Linked DNA regions of Caenorhabditis elegans. The protein of the gene in region 2 interacts with the protein of the main gene of each other region in a pairwise test. Each region holds a gene or a part of one and is shown on either strand. Other genes may lie near its edges.

What was found.
Region 1: the proteins of pas-7 (region 2) and nhr-6 interact in a two-hybrid assay, tested with the Caenorhabditis elegans proteins (2 studies listed by BioGRID).

What each region holds. Positions count from the first base shown.
Region 1 is NC_003281.10:3,571,075-3,581,105, forward strand, and holds nhr-6 (Nuclear hormone receptor family member nhr-6), read left to right. Parts: upstream 1-2,506; 5' UTR 2,507-2,624; coding exon 2,625-2,666; intron 2,667-2,776; exon of another isoform or gene 2,777-2,783; coding exon 2,784-2,849; intron 2,850-3,073; coding exon 3,074-3,176; intron 3,177-3,219; coding exon 3,220-3,302; intron 3,303-5,117; coding exon 5,118-5,195; intron 5,196-5,242; coding exon 5,243-5,394; intron 5,395-5,534; coding exon 5,535-5,729; intron 5,730-5,795; coding exon 5,796-6,085; intron 6,086-6,130; coding exon 6,131-6,288; intron 6,289-6,335; coding exon 6,336-6,696; intron 6,697-6,773; coding exon 6,774-6,895; intron 6,896-7,106; coding exon 7,107-7,316; 3' UTR 7,317-7,697; downstream 7,698-10,031. Other genes in the region: C48D5.3 (TIL domain-containing protein), read right to left, coding at 7,808-7,950, 9,247-9,384. UniProt on the Caenorhabditis elegans protein: Transcriptional activator that induces gene expression by binding to the NGFI-B response element (NBRE) 5'-AAAGGTCA-3'. Required for proper morphogenesis of the spermatheca and the spermatheca-uterine valve formation.
Region 2 is NC_003280.10:10,096,539-10,102,800, forward strand, and holds pas-7 (Proteasome subunit alpha type-3), read right to left. Parts: upstream 3,317-6,262; 5' UTR 3,316-3,316; coding exon 3,246-3,315; intron 3,197-3,245; coding exon 3,084-3,196; intron 3,039-3,083; coding exon 2,469-3,038; 3' UTR 2,244-2,468; downstream 1-2,243. Other genes in the region: lact-2 (Beta-lactamase domain-containing protein 2), read left to right, coding at 381-675, 1,216-1,878, 1,927-2,151; puf-12 (Pumilio domain-containing protein 12), read left to right, coding at 3,791-3,910, 3,961-4,263, 4,311-4,815, 4,868-5,127, 5,174-5,873, 5,921-6,262.

The sequences.
Region 1 (10,031 bases), on a different chromosome or scaffold from region 2:
GGCCCTGCGGTAATTCATGGAACACTGATGTGCGTTCATTTAGCATGCTTCTTTTTGATTTTTAAATTCTAATTCGAGTTAGCAGCTAATTTACCACGTGATGTCAGGCTGTCTCATTACGGTTTGATCTACAAAAAATGCGGTGTTTTCTCTCAAAAAAAAAAGTGACACTCTAGAGATTCCCACAATTCTCGTAGATCAAACCAAGATTTACAAGTTGTTGACTACTTGCTGCACCCAGGAGGTCTATAACTATAACTCATCTCTTATCAATAGATCAAAACGTTCAACTCACCTTCCACAGTCCAGTTCAAACTACACAATGACATATGAATTGGGGGGGTCAACTGTTTCCTGTAGATTCCTACATACTTCAGTTTCATTGATAAGAAGCACTTCGTCACCGAGTGTGGGCGATGTTTACGTCAGAGTGCTGGACAGTATCAAAATTAGTCACTAGAGCTGGAACAATGACTTAGTTCTGAGCTATTACTCACTTATGAGACACATGCACCGTCGCCTTCGCCGTCTCTCGAACCTAGTGGCTTTGATCTCTGATAGAGCTTCACGCTTTGGAGTAAACTATCTACAGACTCCCGGTGCATTGTGTGTCTTTGATCGTGTTATCATTCGTCTCCGTACAAGCGTTTATCAGTGGTTTCTTGCTTTTTACAAGCACTTCATCACGTCACTTTATTTTATTTGTTTCGTAGGTAAAAGGGGTGGGGAAATGGGACGAAAACCGTTTTAAAGCGGAGGTTTTCAGATTTTGAGTCAGTTTTTCTTGACCTTCTTGGCGAAAAATTTCTAATTTTATAATACATTTGGGGGTTAGCGAGCCTGCTTCCAAAAAGTATGAGAGCAAAGGATAGGTCTACAAAATTGCCCCATCTAACTTTTTTCGTTTAAAATTAGTGTAAACTATAGAAAATGATGTACCTGATTATTCGAAAATAACAAATATTTTAGCTGAAACATATTAGAAAATTCTCAAAAATAACCTGGAAATTGCCATTCATCCATTATCGAATTGTCTAGCAATTGACAACTTCTAGGCTATTTTGAGCATTTATTCAAATGTTTTAGCTCAAATAAATGCTATTTTCAAATTAATCAAATAATCAAATCAAAATATTTTGGTCTCATTGCACCTGGTGCAATAGGACATTTTTTAGAATTAACGCCCCTCATTTCTCTCAAAAACCGATTCCTCGAAAAAAATTTCCTAACTCAAATTTTATCTACAGTCTTATGCAACAGTGCATTGCGAAAGATTTCCTAATGCTCCCACAAACCGCAAAATTTTTTCTCAACATGTACGTTTTTCTTGTAATTTACAGCTTCCTTCCTACTATTTAGCATATTTTTCCAAATATGTTTTCTGATACGCCTTGTTACTCACAGGAGCTAGAACTAGATAGACAAACCAATTAGAACATCCCCCCGGAGGTTTGTATGTTTTTCGGAAAATGATCCATTGTTCAGATCAGTTATGATGTGTCGTGAGATGGGCGGGAGGAAGTGATATCATAAGTTCCCTTTACGGTTTCTGGTATATAATAATGCTCATTTAGTCGTAGAAATTTATTGTTCCGACTGTTCCGGAAAGATAATTTTTCTGTAGATCATTTATGCAAAAAATATTTTTCACTTTTGCATTAGTTTTTGCGTAGCACCCAATTTACCGAACAACTCTCCTTATCATGAAAATGCCCTTGAAATGACTAAATAATTTCACCGGTGCACATACTTTCTATTTTTTCCTTTTTTTCCATTGTCTAGAGCAGCAGCTGACGCAATTTTCCGACCTTTTCACACTTCCCACTCTGCATGCATTTTTGGATTTAAATTGTCTACGTACAAAATATCTTGCACCTGTGATGAAGTCACAAACTAGCTCAGAGATTAATTAGCTCTAGACATAGATGCTAACTGATGGGTTTGCAAGTACCTATGCCTACCTGCGTGCCTTCAACTCCCCTAATGCAGATAACAGTAGCCGTAGGTCAGTTGTAGGCACGGCAGCAGGCATAGAAGTTAACTGTTACAGTAACCACTCACCTGTACATTGGGATCTCCTCATTGATTTTGAGAGCTGACCTACATAGTATATCGAAGCGATTCGATCGCTAAACTCTGAGCTCACAGAATTGGAAACAATGAAAAAAAGGCTGATTCTGCTTTTAGAGTGACCACTTCTAATTTTAGCCGGCCCGGTGGTGTCGTCAAAATTCCTTTCCTGAAATTACGTAGATAATCAAGGCGCGGGCAGGTGAATATTCCATTCAAGACGGGCAAGAACACATGTTGTTGACTTTTTTAGTGTTGCTGCTCGATCAGTTGTCACAGTGTCAAATCACCTGCACATGTGCATTTTTAGGTGCTTCTGATGACGCGCCACGAGCTGCTACTCCGCCTTCTCAATTGTTTGACACTATATAATTCCCGATCGTCTCTCTCTCTCTCCCACTCACCCAATCTGAAAATTCGTTAAAATTCTGAACATTTTCAGATTGACCACTACTAGAGCTCTTCTCTCACTTCTTCTTCATCTTTCTTCATTCAAATCTTACAACTCCTTATATCGACCGCTCATTAATCGGATGCGCGGTCTGTCCGACTGAATGGAACAACTTAGTATTCAAACGGACGAGTTGCAAGATCAGGTACCCTAACCTATTTCTTTTTTTTTTTGAGTAGGCGAACTGGCAGGTGTACCAGAAAAACTGTTAAAGTTCGGTGGAAAAGATATGTGGTAAATTCTATATGTGGTAAATTTTCAGTTTTCCAACTGCTCGCCAGCTTCTGTCGATAGTAGCTACTCATCCTGCTCCAGCGTGGAGGACGAAGTAAGTATTCTTATTCTCATCTTCTGGAAGCCTAAACAAGATTGGGCTTATGCTTAGGATTCGGCTTAGGATTAGGCTTGGGCTTAAGAATTATAGAAAAAAAAATACAAAAATTGCACAATCCCAAAAAAACAGAAAACTCAAAAATCATGTGCCCAGAAACAACGGAAAATGAGATATTACAAAATCTGGCAAAAACTTTAATTTAAATTTTATTTTTTAAGATCGAAATCTACACACGCCTCGTGCGTAACGAAGAACCTCTGCGAAGGGACTTCTTCCGCGAGATGTCGAAAAACTCTTCGTGCTCCTCATCATTCGACTACGGTAATTCACAAAATTTCCATTTCTTCCTAATTATTGGTTTCAGGAGAGTTTGGACCATCTTCCTCGTCTCGCAAAGGCTCCAAAACCACCGATGCCGACCTCGACAGCCTTTTCCATTCTCTTGTGGTGAGCTCTTTTTCCAAGAACTTTTTTAAGATTCCCATGAAACCTTTTTTTTCAAATCTGTGGGAGAAAATTGGTATAATCCTTTTCTGAGCTATAATTTTTTTGAACTTTTTTCCGGCGGTAAAAAAAGGTGTGAGTGGGAACATGTGAATAATATCACCCGACTCCTCGTTTCCCACTTCATTTCAAACTTGGCATCCCCTCTCAACACAGTCATTGTTTCCTGTCGAATCACCCTGCACTTTCCCAACACATTTCGTGCCCGCTTATTAGAAAGATAATTGGATAGGTGAGATCACTTGTAGAGAGAGCCACGAGTGGTGTTGGTTGGAGAGAAATATTTCTCGTTTCAAATTCATTCTACAACTTTTCCACCCAACTAGTAGTAGTCTTTCTCTTTCTTTTTTTTTGGGTGTTGGCGCAATGGTATTTGCCATTAGTCATAGAGACAGTAGCAGCAGGGGTGGGACCCCTAATGCTAACAAGTCACTTGTACCAAAATGTCATTCATTTATTAGTAGTGTTTCTTTTGATGTTGCTGCTTTCTTTTTTGGCTACTGTAAAAAGTAGACCATTTTAGAAAATTTGGCAAGTTGTTTAGAAGTTTTTGGAAGTCGACTATTTTTTTTCACTCAAAATCAATGTTTCAACCTCTAAAAAATTTGAATTCTAGAAACTTTTTAAAAAAATTCTAATTTTTCCCACTGCTCAAAATTTATGAGAGTCTAGAAATGTAAAAAAATGTATCAAAAATCCCAAAAAAAAAACTAGAGTAGCCCCCCACAAAAATGGCTCCGAGTTTCTGAATTTAGACCCAACTTTTCATTGAAAATTACTGTCAAAATCAGGAATATATGCATATTGATTTATCTGAAAATCAGATTTTGCCCACTTGAACCATTGGAAAAAATGCTCGAAAATGGCCTTTTCAACAAGTATGATTTTTGATATTTTTGACCCATTTTTAGCATTTCTCAATAAAATCGCCCTGCATTTTTAAGGCTTTAGAACGTTTTTGGAGCTCTCGAGATAATTTCTTTATTTCTAGTTTGCTTAGCCATGTAGGCGGTAATTTTTCGAGGACTACAACAAATATTTTCAGCCCACAGGCTCTGCGTCATTTTAGACCAGAGAAGAGTACAAAAAGTTTAGCTCTCATAGCTCTTTTCTTGTTTTCTGCTCCAAAAAAACTCTTAACTTCCTCACATAAACAGTCCGAAAACCCGAAAAATATTTAAATGCTGGCTTAACCTTCAGTTTTGCTCAAACACATACACCCACTATCATCCGGCTAATTGATAGATACACGTGCCATTTGGCTCCCCCTTCAGTCCTCTGTGTCCACACCAAAATTTGGCATGAAACACCCCGCAATTTGTCGTCTTTCTTCTTCCTTTCATCCATCTCGAAAACTCTTTACTTTCGATTTTGATTTGATGGTCTCTCTGGGAAACCTGTTTCTATTATATCCTCAAAGTGTCACCTCTCATTCTTTTTTGGCTTCTGTCAGCGACGTCGTCATCACTCTTAGGTGGTCTCGGGGCGTGGACTGACATAATTCCTCGTGTATGCTCTTTTGTCGCAGCTAATGCTCAGGGCTCTGGACTCCGCCCCTTGAAATTTTCCTGGGCAGCCGCCTAATCAGCTGTTTGATAGAAGCGCACTTTTCATATATTCATACTTACTTCCCCCCTGCACCCTACAGTTATGATGAGCAAACGGACAGCTAGCAAAATTGACAAGCCTGTGGTCAGGCTCGGAGATGATCTTAGCGGACTTATGGGCTTTATAAAGTCTGAAATTGAAAGTTTGCAGGAGACAAGCGATCAGGTGAACACTGTACCAAAGCCCACGAAAACCGAAGTCGAGAGTATCCCCGAAGAATTCGAGCAGGTAAGAGCTTCATTCTGCACACAATTATAAACTTTTAATAATTTCAGAAACCATCCTCCTCCAGTCACCGTTTACCATCCGAAATGAACGCCTCAATCACCCATATCAAAAGTGAACTTGACCCAACTATGCAAGCATTTCAAATGCCACACAACGATCTTTTCCTGGCAACCGCCGCACCGCATTACAATCCATTCGCGTAAGTGTCGTCACAGATAACCACGTGTGAATTACTTTTGCTTCGTGTTTTCTACGTAGTACATCGAGCCGAGGATTAACCTCCATTGAGAGCATAAGCTGGTGCTTCCACGAGAGGATTTCTATTGTTTCTTCTTACAGACTTTCGAATGATTTCATGCCGAATCCCTTGATGCCTTCATTCACATCTCCATTCTATCCTCAACACTTTCCGGTATCGGATTCCAGGCGTGGAAGTCAGGGGACAACGAGCTCGTCGAACAATACCGGCGGAACACCATCGCCTCATTCAAGCTCTCTGCCAACGTCACCCCCGCAGTTGCAAGGCTTCTTAAGGTTCGTTTTTGAAATTTGAAATTTGATATTTTAAATTTGAAATTAAAAAAAAAAGAAAACTTTCAGATCCTTCCTCAACCCCGACAACCTCTCCACACCAACCTCATTCGGTGTCCCATCGGAAACAGCTCTTGACGCTGACAAAATGTGCGCTGTGTGCAATGATCGAGCTGTTTGCCTGCACTATGGAGCCAGAACTTGCGAAGGATGCAAAGGATTCTTCAAGCGAACTGTGCAGAAGAACTCCAAATACACTTGCGCTGGTAACAAGACCTGCCCAATCGACAAGCGATACCGTAGTCGGTGCCAGTACTGTCGCTATCAAAAGTGTTTGGAAGTCGGCATGGTCAAAGAAAGTAGGTGTACCCTTTGGGAAATGTTCATTATTTGTGATATTTCAGTTGTTCGACATGGTTCTCTATCGGGGAGACGTGGACGTTTGTCGTCAAAGACGAAGTTGGCAAGATCAGAGGATCAACCATCTCCACCGCTTCCTCTTCTAGCTTTGATGGGAAAAGCAATTGAAGATCATACAAATATGACTGTTGTCCGGCAATTTGTAAGTCGGAAATTTAGCATTTCTTTTGGAAAATGTTTATCATTTAGATGCAACCATTCGATGAGACTATCGCACTGAGAATCCTGCACGGAGAGCTTCATGCCACCAAGAAGCTTCTCATGGCAATGCCACAAATTTCCGAGATTCAGCCAGCCGACTTCCAGATCCTCCTCAGCAGATCTTTCTTCGCAATCATGGCAATCCGCGTGGCAAACCGATGTGGCAACAGCACCGACACAATTATGTTCGAGTCTGGAGAGCTTTTCTCGTTGAACGCGTTCCCTGCCTGCTTCCAACAAATCATTCGATTCATGGTTGACAAAGCACGAACCTTCAGCTCATTGGTTGACTGGGAGCCTCAGGCATTCGCCGCCTTTATTGCTCTTCAATTTTTGGCTGGAAACACAGGTGTGTAGAATTTAAACCCTAAAAAGCTTCAGCAAAGTTTATCTACTCCTCATTTCATAATTTCAAAATTTTTTCAGAACATAACGTACTTGGATTGACCAACAAACCTCTCGTCGACCAGGTTCAAAGTACCATCATCAATGCTCTCAAGGATCATTGCAGCGGATCTCAGAACAAATTGGCCAAGATCGTTAGATTGGTAAGTTTGTCATTTTCAACGTGTGACGTAGAATCTAGCGGGGAAGCCTTGTAACACGCTTTGAGGGCAAAATTTGCACGCTTCTAATGCTAATCCATGTCTGCCAGGAAGCAAAATTTTTATTTTTTATTGAGGGTTGCACTGAGAGCAAGTATTCCAGACTGACATGCAAGTAGGATGTCTAGTATAACACTAACTATTCAATTTTCAGACCCAAGAATTCGATGTATTCCATGCTCTTGGACTCCAGGCCCTGGACATTCTCTATCCATCACACCAGCTTCCAGAAGAGTTCATGTTCCTTATCAATCTTACACGTGCTCCATTACGATCTACGGATGCACCGCCAGCTTGTGGAAGCCCAGTTGCCCCATCTGGAAGTTCACTTTTTAACTTCCAAATGGGCCCGGCTGCCTTTTAAAATTTTTTAAATGTTTAAAATTTTAAAAATTTAAAATTAATATATTTTTCAAAATCGCTAGCCCCATTGAATTGCATATCGCAAAGATTTCTAATTTATTTTGTTTCCCCACTACTGTCTCAAACAAAAAATCACTTCCAGAAAAATTTCAAATAACTTGTTACCGGTACTTTCCCAACAATTTTTGCTCCTTGAACCTCAAATCTCTCAGAATTTGTCCCCCCATTCGGTTTTTATTTTATGAAAAGCCTCTAGTTTTTGTGTGAATTCCAATCCCCGAATATCAATTTTGTTTTGTTTCAATTTTCAGAGTTTATTTATTTTAACTGATATTTCTTGAAATTATTGTATAGAAAAAGAAAACCATAAATTATATATTTTTACATTGTTTCATTTTATTACAAAGCACCGGAGAGAGAGGGACAAGAATACTGTGGGGAAGGGGTATACTGAAGTTTAGAGAGCAATTCCTGGAGAAAAAGGTCTGAAGCTTAACAAAAATTATTTCGCATTTGTCGTTTGTTACGTCTCATGTACTGGAACGCGGTTTTCAGATCGGTTTTCAGCTCGCAGCGGCTGAATCCACGGTCGTCAATGATGGGCTCCGGATGAGCAAAGTCTGGGCACTTCTTCCCTGAAATTTGAAGGTTTTTCGAAGTGAAGAAGGCATGTGTCCCCTCAAATAGAAGTGTGTGACGTCACACGTTTTAAGGGGCATTGACCTACTGTATCATAATTTACGCGCAAAGTTTCTGTTCTGGACTGTGCTGAACTTGGTTGAACCGCGGAACCCGCGAAACGTCCGTGCAAGAACAATCGGGACATTATTTCCTTTTAATATTAAAGTTTTCAAAATGTTAGGGTTCGCCTCAAACTGTTCTGTGTGACGTCACGGGTTGGCCAAAAGCGTCAACTTTGAACACAAGTTTCTAGTATAAATTTTAGTTCAAAGATAATTGGAAATTATTTTAAGGTGAAAAAGAAATGTGGTAAGAATACTAAATCACCTATTGAATTAATTATAGCTGCAGAAGATCACTGAAATTTTCACGACAGCTGATAATATTTGTTGAAATGCCAGGGAAAGGTTACCTAAAGTTTGTCGGCTTTTTACGCAAATGACAGGAAAATGAATGAAATTTTTGAAATCGCGGGGGTTTTTTGTTGCAGCCGACGTTTTACGGGCACTTTGAGAGGATTCCTAGAAAACATTTTGTTGCAAAATTGTATACTCTGAAATAATGTTACGGGAATAATCCCTTCATTACACTTTTTGTACCTTAAACCTATTCTATGTCTGATCTTTATAATAGCATTACAACGTCTGCACCTATACACTTAATCTACCACCCAATACAATTCTGATCTGTGACGTTTGCCCTCCCCAACTTTAATCTTCTCTTTTGAAAGCTTTTGTATCTGACAGAGCAGGTTGTTGGTTGAGCATTGGGAAGTGATAACCCGGAAATTTTACCTGTGAAAAATATTTTTTTGGGATCTTTAAGGATAAATGTTGCTGGAAAAAAATGGAAAGATGACCGGAAATGTTGTATAGTTTTTTAAAAATTAATGAAACTTTGAATAATTTTTTTACTATTTTAATTTAGTAAGGCACCTCCTAAAATCAATTTTGAGACATTTTAACGTTCGCAAGTTCAAAAAACTTAAATATACTTTGAAATTTAAAAGGTTTAATCTTATATTACTAGTTTCAAGATAAAATTTTCAAACCTCCCTTACAAAGTTTAAATTTTTTGTGCTGTGGGCATTTTTTAAGAAAATATATTTTTTATGCAATTTTGGCAATTTCCAAAATTGTAGAAAATTTATGTTACTTGCAATTGCCGCGCTGACCTCAAAATTTTAGATAACTGTATATTAGATACTGTAATTCTGGCAAGGGATCTTTAAAATCAATTTCCCAACTCACAACACTTGTTGAATAAAAAATGTCGTCCTTTCTCACAAAGACATCGGGATGGAAATTGAGATCTGTCACAGATGGTGCTCTCACATGCTTGTTTACATTGATCTTCAATCATACATCCAGTTTCGTTTGGTTTAAGAGCTGAAAATTATCGATTTTTTTTCTAATCAATAGTGGAACTAGCTAGTACGTATGTAAGTTAATTATAAACGAAACAAAATTTTCAACACCTTCATTATATTTTTTTAAAGAGCAAAGTTAGGTACCATCAATATCAGAATTTTCAGGCAACCTCCACTTGCCTCGCGCCGCGACCCGCGTCTTTTTTTATAGCCAGTAAATTTGGATTTCCAGCAAAAAATCTTAGCTTAAGCTCTGATTTTTACTATAAATCGTAGTTCTCAGAGCTATTACGTCAAACTCGTAATTGTTTTCAATACAAACACGAGTTATATTCAGACCGAAAAATGTCTATTAATATCTAAATAACACATCAAATTATTCAGTTTATGATAATATTTTAAACTGTGACTAGATAGGGCTTCGTTTCCTTGAAAACTGGCCCGTCGGCTATATTTGGAATGAGTCACAGATTATTGATAAATCAACAAAATGTTATCATTGTGAGGGTGGAGGAATATAATTATGGTGTGTCGACAAATAAAATAAAGTTTCAAACAACTTTTGAGCATGTTGGAAATGTTTTTCATAAAGTTCTGAAATTTAAAGCCTAGAAATAAAGTTGTTTGAATTTGTATTTCTTTTGATTTTCGCATTAATTTCATAAG
Region 2 (6,262 bases):
AAAATAAACATTATTTTTTAAATCACTAAAATATTTGTTCTATATTTCTGCATATTTGGTGATATTTTTAGATACTTTCTAAAAATTTTCAGCGCACCTTTGGACTCGACTCCATGAATTTCATAGAATCCAATTTTTGTGACTGATCTCTAGAAGCGTCTTTTAGAAACATTTCCCTATGACTATAAACTACACTTTCTTCCTGACAAGGTCATACATCTCACTCTCTTTTCCACCAAATTATCCTCCACCATCTTGCGTCTTTTTTGCAAAGAAAGTGAGAAGCAAAGTGAACAGTGTAAACAAAAAGCTATTCATTCACAATTCAATTCAAAAACCAATTCTTCTTCAATTCAATGCCACCCTTCTTTCGATTTCAGACGAAACTTTGCCGATGGTTGGGAACGTGAGGGTGCGTCGATTACCGTATACCACAAGGATCGGGTGATTGTGGATCTTCAAGGCGGGTATGCGGACAAGGCGTCGGGCAGGAAATGGACCCCTGACACGAGAACAGTCGTGTTCAGTACAACGAAAGCTGTTGGAGCAGTCTGTGTGGCAATGTTGGTTGATCGAGGTCACATCAGTTATGATGACAAGATGAGCAAGATCTGGCCAGAGTTTGCACAAAATGGGAAGGAGAATATCACAATCGATTGGTTAATGTCACACAGAGTATGTTTAATCTTTTTGGTTTCTAAATCTAACTCGAGGTCCAAAAAATTCTTAGGCAGCGCTGCCTAAGAATTGCCGGCATCAATAATTAGAAACGTTTGAAGTTAAGGTTTTGCCGCTAATGCCTAACGAGACCCAGCTTTTGGGAGAGGAGCGTTATAATTTAGCCTTGGAGCGCAATTCCACCTCGATTTAAAACATGCATTTTTCTGCGTCTCCATAATATATGGAAAACTGTGAGCTCACTCCAAAGGAACTCATTTTTTAAAAGCTCTTTTCTAGTGGAAACGAGACAATAGGTGCTAAATTTTCAATTGTAAATCCTGGTTTTCTCTGTGCACTTTAAAATTCGAAACTTTATCAACTACATTTTCAATATGAAACGAAAAAATTTGTTAAATTTGGAGCCTGTAGCGGTTACTGTAACTGAGATCGTGGCGAGACCCAATGGGAAAAAGGCGGCGCCAGAAAATCGCAATGCAATAATAAATTATAAAAATTCGCATGCTGAATCACATTCAAGTAAATTCTTAATTCCAGGCAGGTCTTGCTGCACTCGATATGCCAATAACCATCGAAGACGCCAACGATTTCGAGAAAATGAGTGAAGTCATCGCATCACAAAAACCAAACTGGGAACCTGGAACTAAATCTGGATATCATGCAATTACTTACGGATGGATCGTTGATCAAATCGTTCGACGCTCCGATCCGAAAGGTCGATCAGTTGGACGATTCTTCAAAGAAGAAGTCGCCGATGTTCACGGAATCGACTTTCATATTGGATTACCGCCAAGCGAAGAGCATACCGTATCCCGTCTTTCAATGCCGTCCACACTTCATCTCGTTCGGGAGATTGTTCATGATCCACGTGTTCTGATTGTACTTGCAGTTTTTAATCTTCGACCACCAAATTCTATTGCAAGAAAGATTGCTGCAAATCCAACGTGGTTCAAGTTGGAACAGGATGTGAACACCTTTAATAATCCAACTCTACATGCTATGGAGCAAGTCGCTGCTCTTGGTATTACAAAGTCAAGAGATTTAGCTAGACTTTTCTCACTCGTACAACAAGGAAAACTGTTCTCTACTGAACTTCTAGAAAAGTTCCGTGCCCCCCAAGTTCAGGGGATTGATGAAGTTGTCATGACTCCTCTACCAAAAGGACATGGTTTCCTATACGAGAGACATCCAATGGGAGGGGTGAGCATCGTTTTAATAAATATAATAATAAATCAATTATTTTTTCAGAAAAAGTGGCTTGTTGGACATCCTGGTTACGGTGGCAGCACAGTAATGATGGATTTGGAAGATGGGATCACGATTGCCTACGTCTCGAATGGATTGAAAACTGGAATGGGAGAGCTTACGAGAACATACAGACATCTTCGAGATTCTGTATTTGAGTGCTTGGAGAAACAGAAGACTGGTCAAAGTGTGATGATCGAGGAAGCAGTTCAAGCAGTTGCCGCATAACTTAAAAAATTGTTGTTATCCTTGTTTGTACATAGCGCCATAATTTGGGACGGGTCTACTGCCCCCAGCGAATTGTGCATAAACATGTTTCTGGTTTGTCTGAATTTGTATTGAGAAAAATGGGTAATACCGGGAAACCGAAAAATAATGAACAGAAAAAGTTAAAAAAAAACATCCGGGTGCAAAAAGTTCTTCTTGAAGTCGGTGAGTCGGTTTGAAGTACAATAAAATGACTCGCCGAGCGCAAGAAGTTTACCAGGGCAGAAAGAAGAGAGCTGATAATAAATTAAAAATGTGAATAAATACACGAGAATGATTCAATCGTCCATGTCGTCCTCGTCAAGCTTGGCAATAGCCCATTCCTCGGCAGCAGTGACAACCTCGCTTGGAACTTCTTCGTACTTTCCGTTCGTCTGCTCACCGACCCATCCCATTTCGATTTGAACGTTTTTATCCTTGTTCTCGTCACGCACCACCATAATGATTCGAGCAGCTTCCTTCACGAGTTGATTCACATCCAGCTCCTCGATCTTCAGCTTCTCAATCTCAGCTTTTGCGGCTTGGCGATGTTTTCCGACAGCCCATGCCTTGTATTCATAGTTTAGACCTGATGGCTCCACAAGGAAAAGACGTCCTCCAGTTTGTTTGTTCCATGACATGAAGAAGGCTCCTGCTCCAAACGGACGACTAATGCCGAGAGTGTGAATGTGAATGTACTCAGCAACTGAGTTAGCAATATTCTGAATCGGCATTGGCTCACGGTAGTCTTTGAGCCACTTCATTGCTTCTCCGTAAGCATAGTTCTTCAGAGCGAAACCATCTGGATAGTTTCCAGCAACTGCGACACCAACATTGTCGTTCACGTTAAACATTCTTGGATTAGCGTTCTGAAAATTATAGATAAAATCTTGAAAATCTCTTAAATTACTCACATCAGTGTAAAGTTTGGAAGAGATCAGCTTGTCAGCAACGACCACAACTCCGTTCTTGCCACGAATTGCAATCATTGTTCCTGCATTGTCGACAGCCTTTTGAGCGTACTCGACTGAAAACGAGATTATGAGTATTTTGAACAAAGCAAAATCGAAACAAACCTTGGAAAATTCTGCCATCAGGAGAAAAAGTAGAGGCGGCGAGATCGTAGCCGGTACCGATTGAACTCATTCTGCAAAATAAAAACTATGTTAACACATATATGATTGCAACTGGTACGTGTTTTATTTCTGCGGAAATCAGAAGAACCGTTAAAATTTAATATTTAATAATTCGTTTATTTGAATGCGTTAAAAATAGTAGAATTATTGCGAAAATAAAAGCTGATAATCTGAAAATGGCAGCTAAATGGAAATAAAATTTCAAATGATGATTTTCCAATGTCGATTTACGGGAGAGACGAACATTGCGGCAGGTCTCGCAACGACGAAGAAGAGAGTGTGTAAATTGAGAGACGTCAGAAGACAACATGCGCCTTTAACATTTTCTTTTCATTTTTCTTTACTTTTTCGTAACTTTTTGTTACTATTTTGAAGCTGTGCAATTTGTTTCCAAAGTAAAAATCGCTTAAACCTCACATAAAATTGTCTTGTGTTTATTACTCCTTTTAATATGCGTGTCTTTCAGAGAAATCTCGCGGGTAAAAATGGTGAAACTCGACGACAAAAATAAAAAATTCAAAGGGAAGAAGAAGGTTAAAAATGTGTTGGAGAAAAAGGCAAAAGGATTAAAACTCAACAAAGTAGACAGAAAGCGAATTGTTAAGGTTTGTTAAATTACTTCATTTTGTAAATAATTTTTTGTGAAATATTTCAGATTGAAGAAAAAGCAGCGTTAAAAAGCAAAGTAGACAAAGCTGTGAAGGACGAGTTGGAAAGGTTGAAAAAGTCATCTTCAACATCAGTTTTTGATAATGATGGGACTCGTGACTCTTTGTGCTCGGAGTCTTCGTTCGGAAGCCAGCCAGCACCGAAAAAGAAATCGAAAAAAGTGCTTTTCTCAGGAGAACTTGAACATGTTAAGGTTTTCGATAAGCGAGTTCAGGATCTTCAAATCAAACCATCAGAGGCATCTCCAGGAAGAGGAATTCTCAGATCCCCTCTTGATAAGAAGGTTAAGGTTTGTTAATTCAATATATCGTCTTTTACACAATTGTTTTTTTTCAGAAACTTGCCAAAGTGAAGACTGTCAAAGTTGCTCAGGAAGAAGAAGAAGAGCATTCCGCTCCCCCAAAGAAAAAAGTGAAGGTTAATGCAGAGAAAGCCGTTGCTTCTGAGCCAGCAGACGATGAAAATTTGGAATCTGTCGACGAACAAGCAGGTGGAGATGAATCTCATATTGACATTCCAACTCTAAAGAGAAAGAGAGTAGCTATTCAAGTCACAAAGTCTGTTAAAGAACAATTGCTGAATATGCCGAGAAAAGAAAGAAAAGCATTTTTGAAGGAGTTGAAATTGAAGAGAAAACCTGAAGGAGCTCGTGCTCAAAAATGCAAGGAACTTTGGGAAAAGATCAGAATGGGAAAGACGCCAAAAGCTGAAAAGGATACTGCGGTTCACGAGTTGTATGGTCTTGTAAAAGGACACGCTGCCAAGCTGATCTATGCTCACGACACCAGCAGAGTTATCGAATGTCTTGTTGCCACTGAAAGAGAAGGAATCATTAACAACTGTAAGTTTTTTGAAGGTTCCCATGAATAATTACGAGAACATAATTATTGCAGTGTTCAACGAATTAACCCCAGAAATAGTGAGGATGTCAAAGAACGTCTATTCCAAATTTTTCGTCAAGAAAATGTTGAAGAATGGAACTAAAGAACAACGTGATATTATCATTAATGCATTCCGCGGACATGCTCCAACCCTGCTCAGAATCAAACATGCTGCCGAAGTTCTTGAATATGCTTACAATGACTTCGCTAATGCCCATCAGCGTTACAACATCATTACTGAATTTTATGGAAAAGAATTCATTTTGTTCAGAGTAAACAACATTCAATTAAGCTCTAAAAATAGTTTGTTGATTTCAGGAAGACAATATCAGATCTCTGACGGAGATTCTCGCTGAAAAGCCGGAAAAGAAGGTTGTGATTTTGAAGCATTTGGACGAGGTTATTGGAGCAGTGAATGAAAAAGAAACTTTGCGACTTTCAATTCTGCACAAACTTATGCTCGACTTTTTCGATAATTGCGACGAGGAAAAGAAAATCAATCTCCTTGATTCACTGAAAGATAAAATTCCCGAGTTCATTCATACTCCAGATGGTGCCAAATTGGCTATTAAACTCATTTGGTTTGCTCCAGTCAAGGAAAGAAAATTGATCGTCAAGAATTTCAAGGATTTGTCAGTAAAAGCCGCAATGGAACATTACGGACATCGTGTTCTTCTTGCACTTTTTGATACTGTCGACGATACTGTTCTTCTCAATAAGGTTATTGTCTCCGAGTTGGCAAATGAAATGAAGAAGTTGATCGAAGATGATTGGGGAGAGAAAGTTATCCACTATTTGGTGCATCCAAGAGATGGAAGAGGAATCGACAAAAGAGAAATTACATTCCTTGCCGAAGGTGATAGCAATCCACACTCGAAGAAAACTCAAAAGGATAGATATGGACAGTTGTACGCCGGTATTACCGAGAACTTGTATCCTTATTTGGCTGCTAACTTCGAAGAGCTTGTTTTCGAGGCCAACAAGTCAAAATTCGTGGCTGCATGTCTCGAAACCACCTGTAAGTTTAAAAGTTGCACAATTATAAAGAATTCGAGTTTTTTTCAGCAAGCTTCGATTTGTTCGATCGACAAGTCCCAGCAGAAGCTCGCAAGAGTTGCAACCAAGCGATCGTTGAATTGGCGAAGAAGGACTTTGTACCAATGGACCAGGAAGGCTTCCACATTATTGAACACCAATCGGGCAATTTCATTCTCATGGCAGTCATGCGCTGTGATGCCGCTCTACAAGAAGATGAACGTTTGTCAGTTGCATTGGCAGAAGGACTTACGAGCAAGCAGCTTGGCTCGTGGGTGACTTGCAATCGCGGTTGCCATGTTCTCTTGAAAATGCTTCAAGTTGGAGGACCGAAAGTTATTGAAAAATTGAAGGCTTCGATCAGCAGAAAAC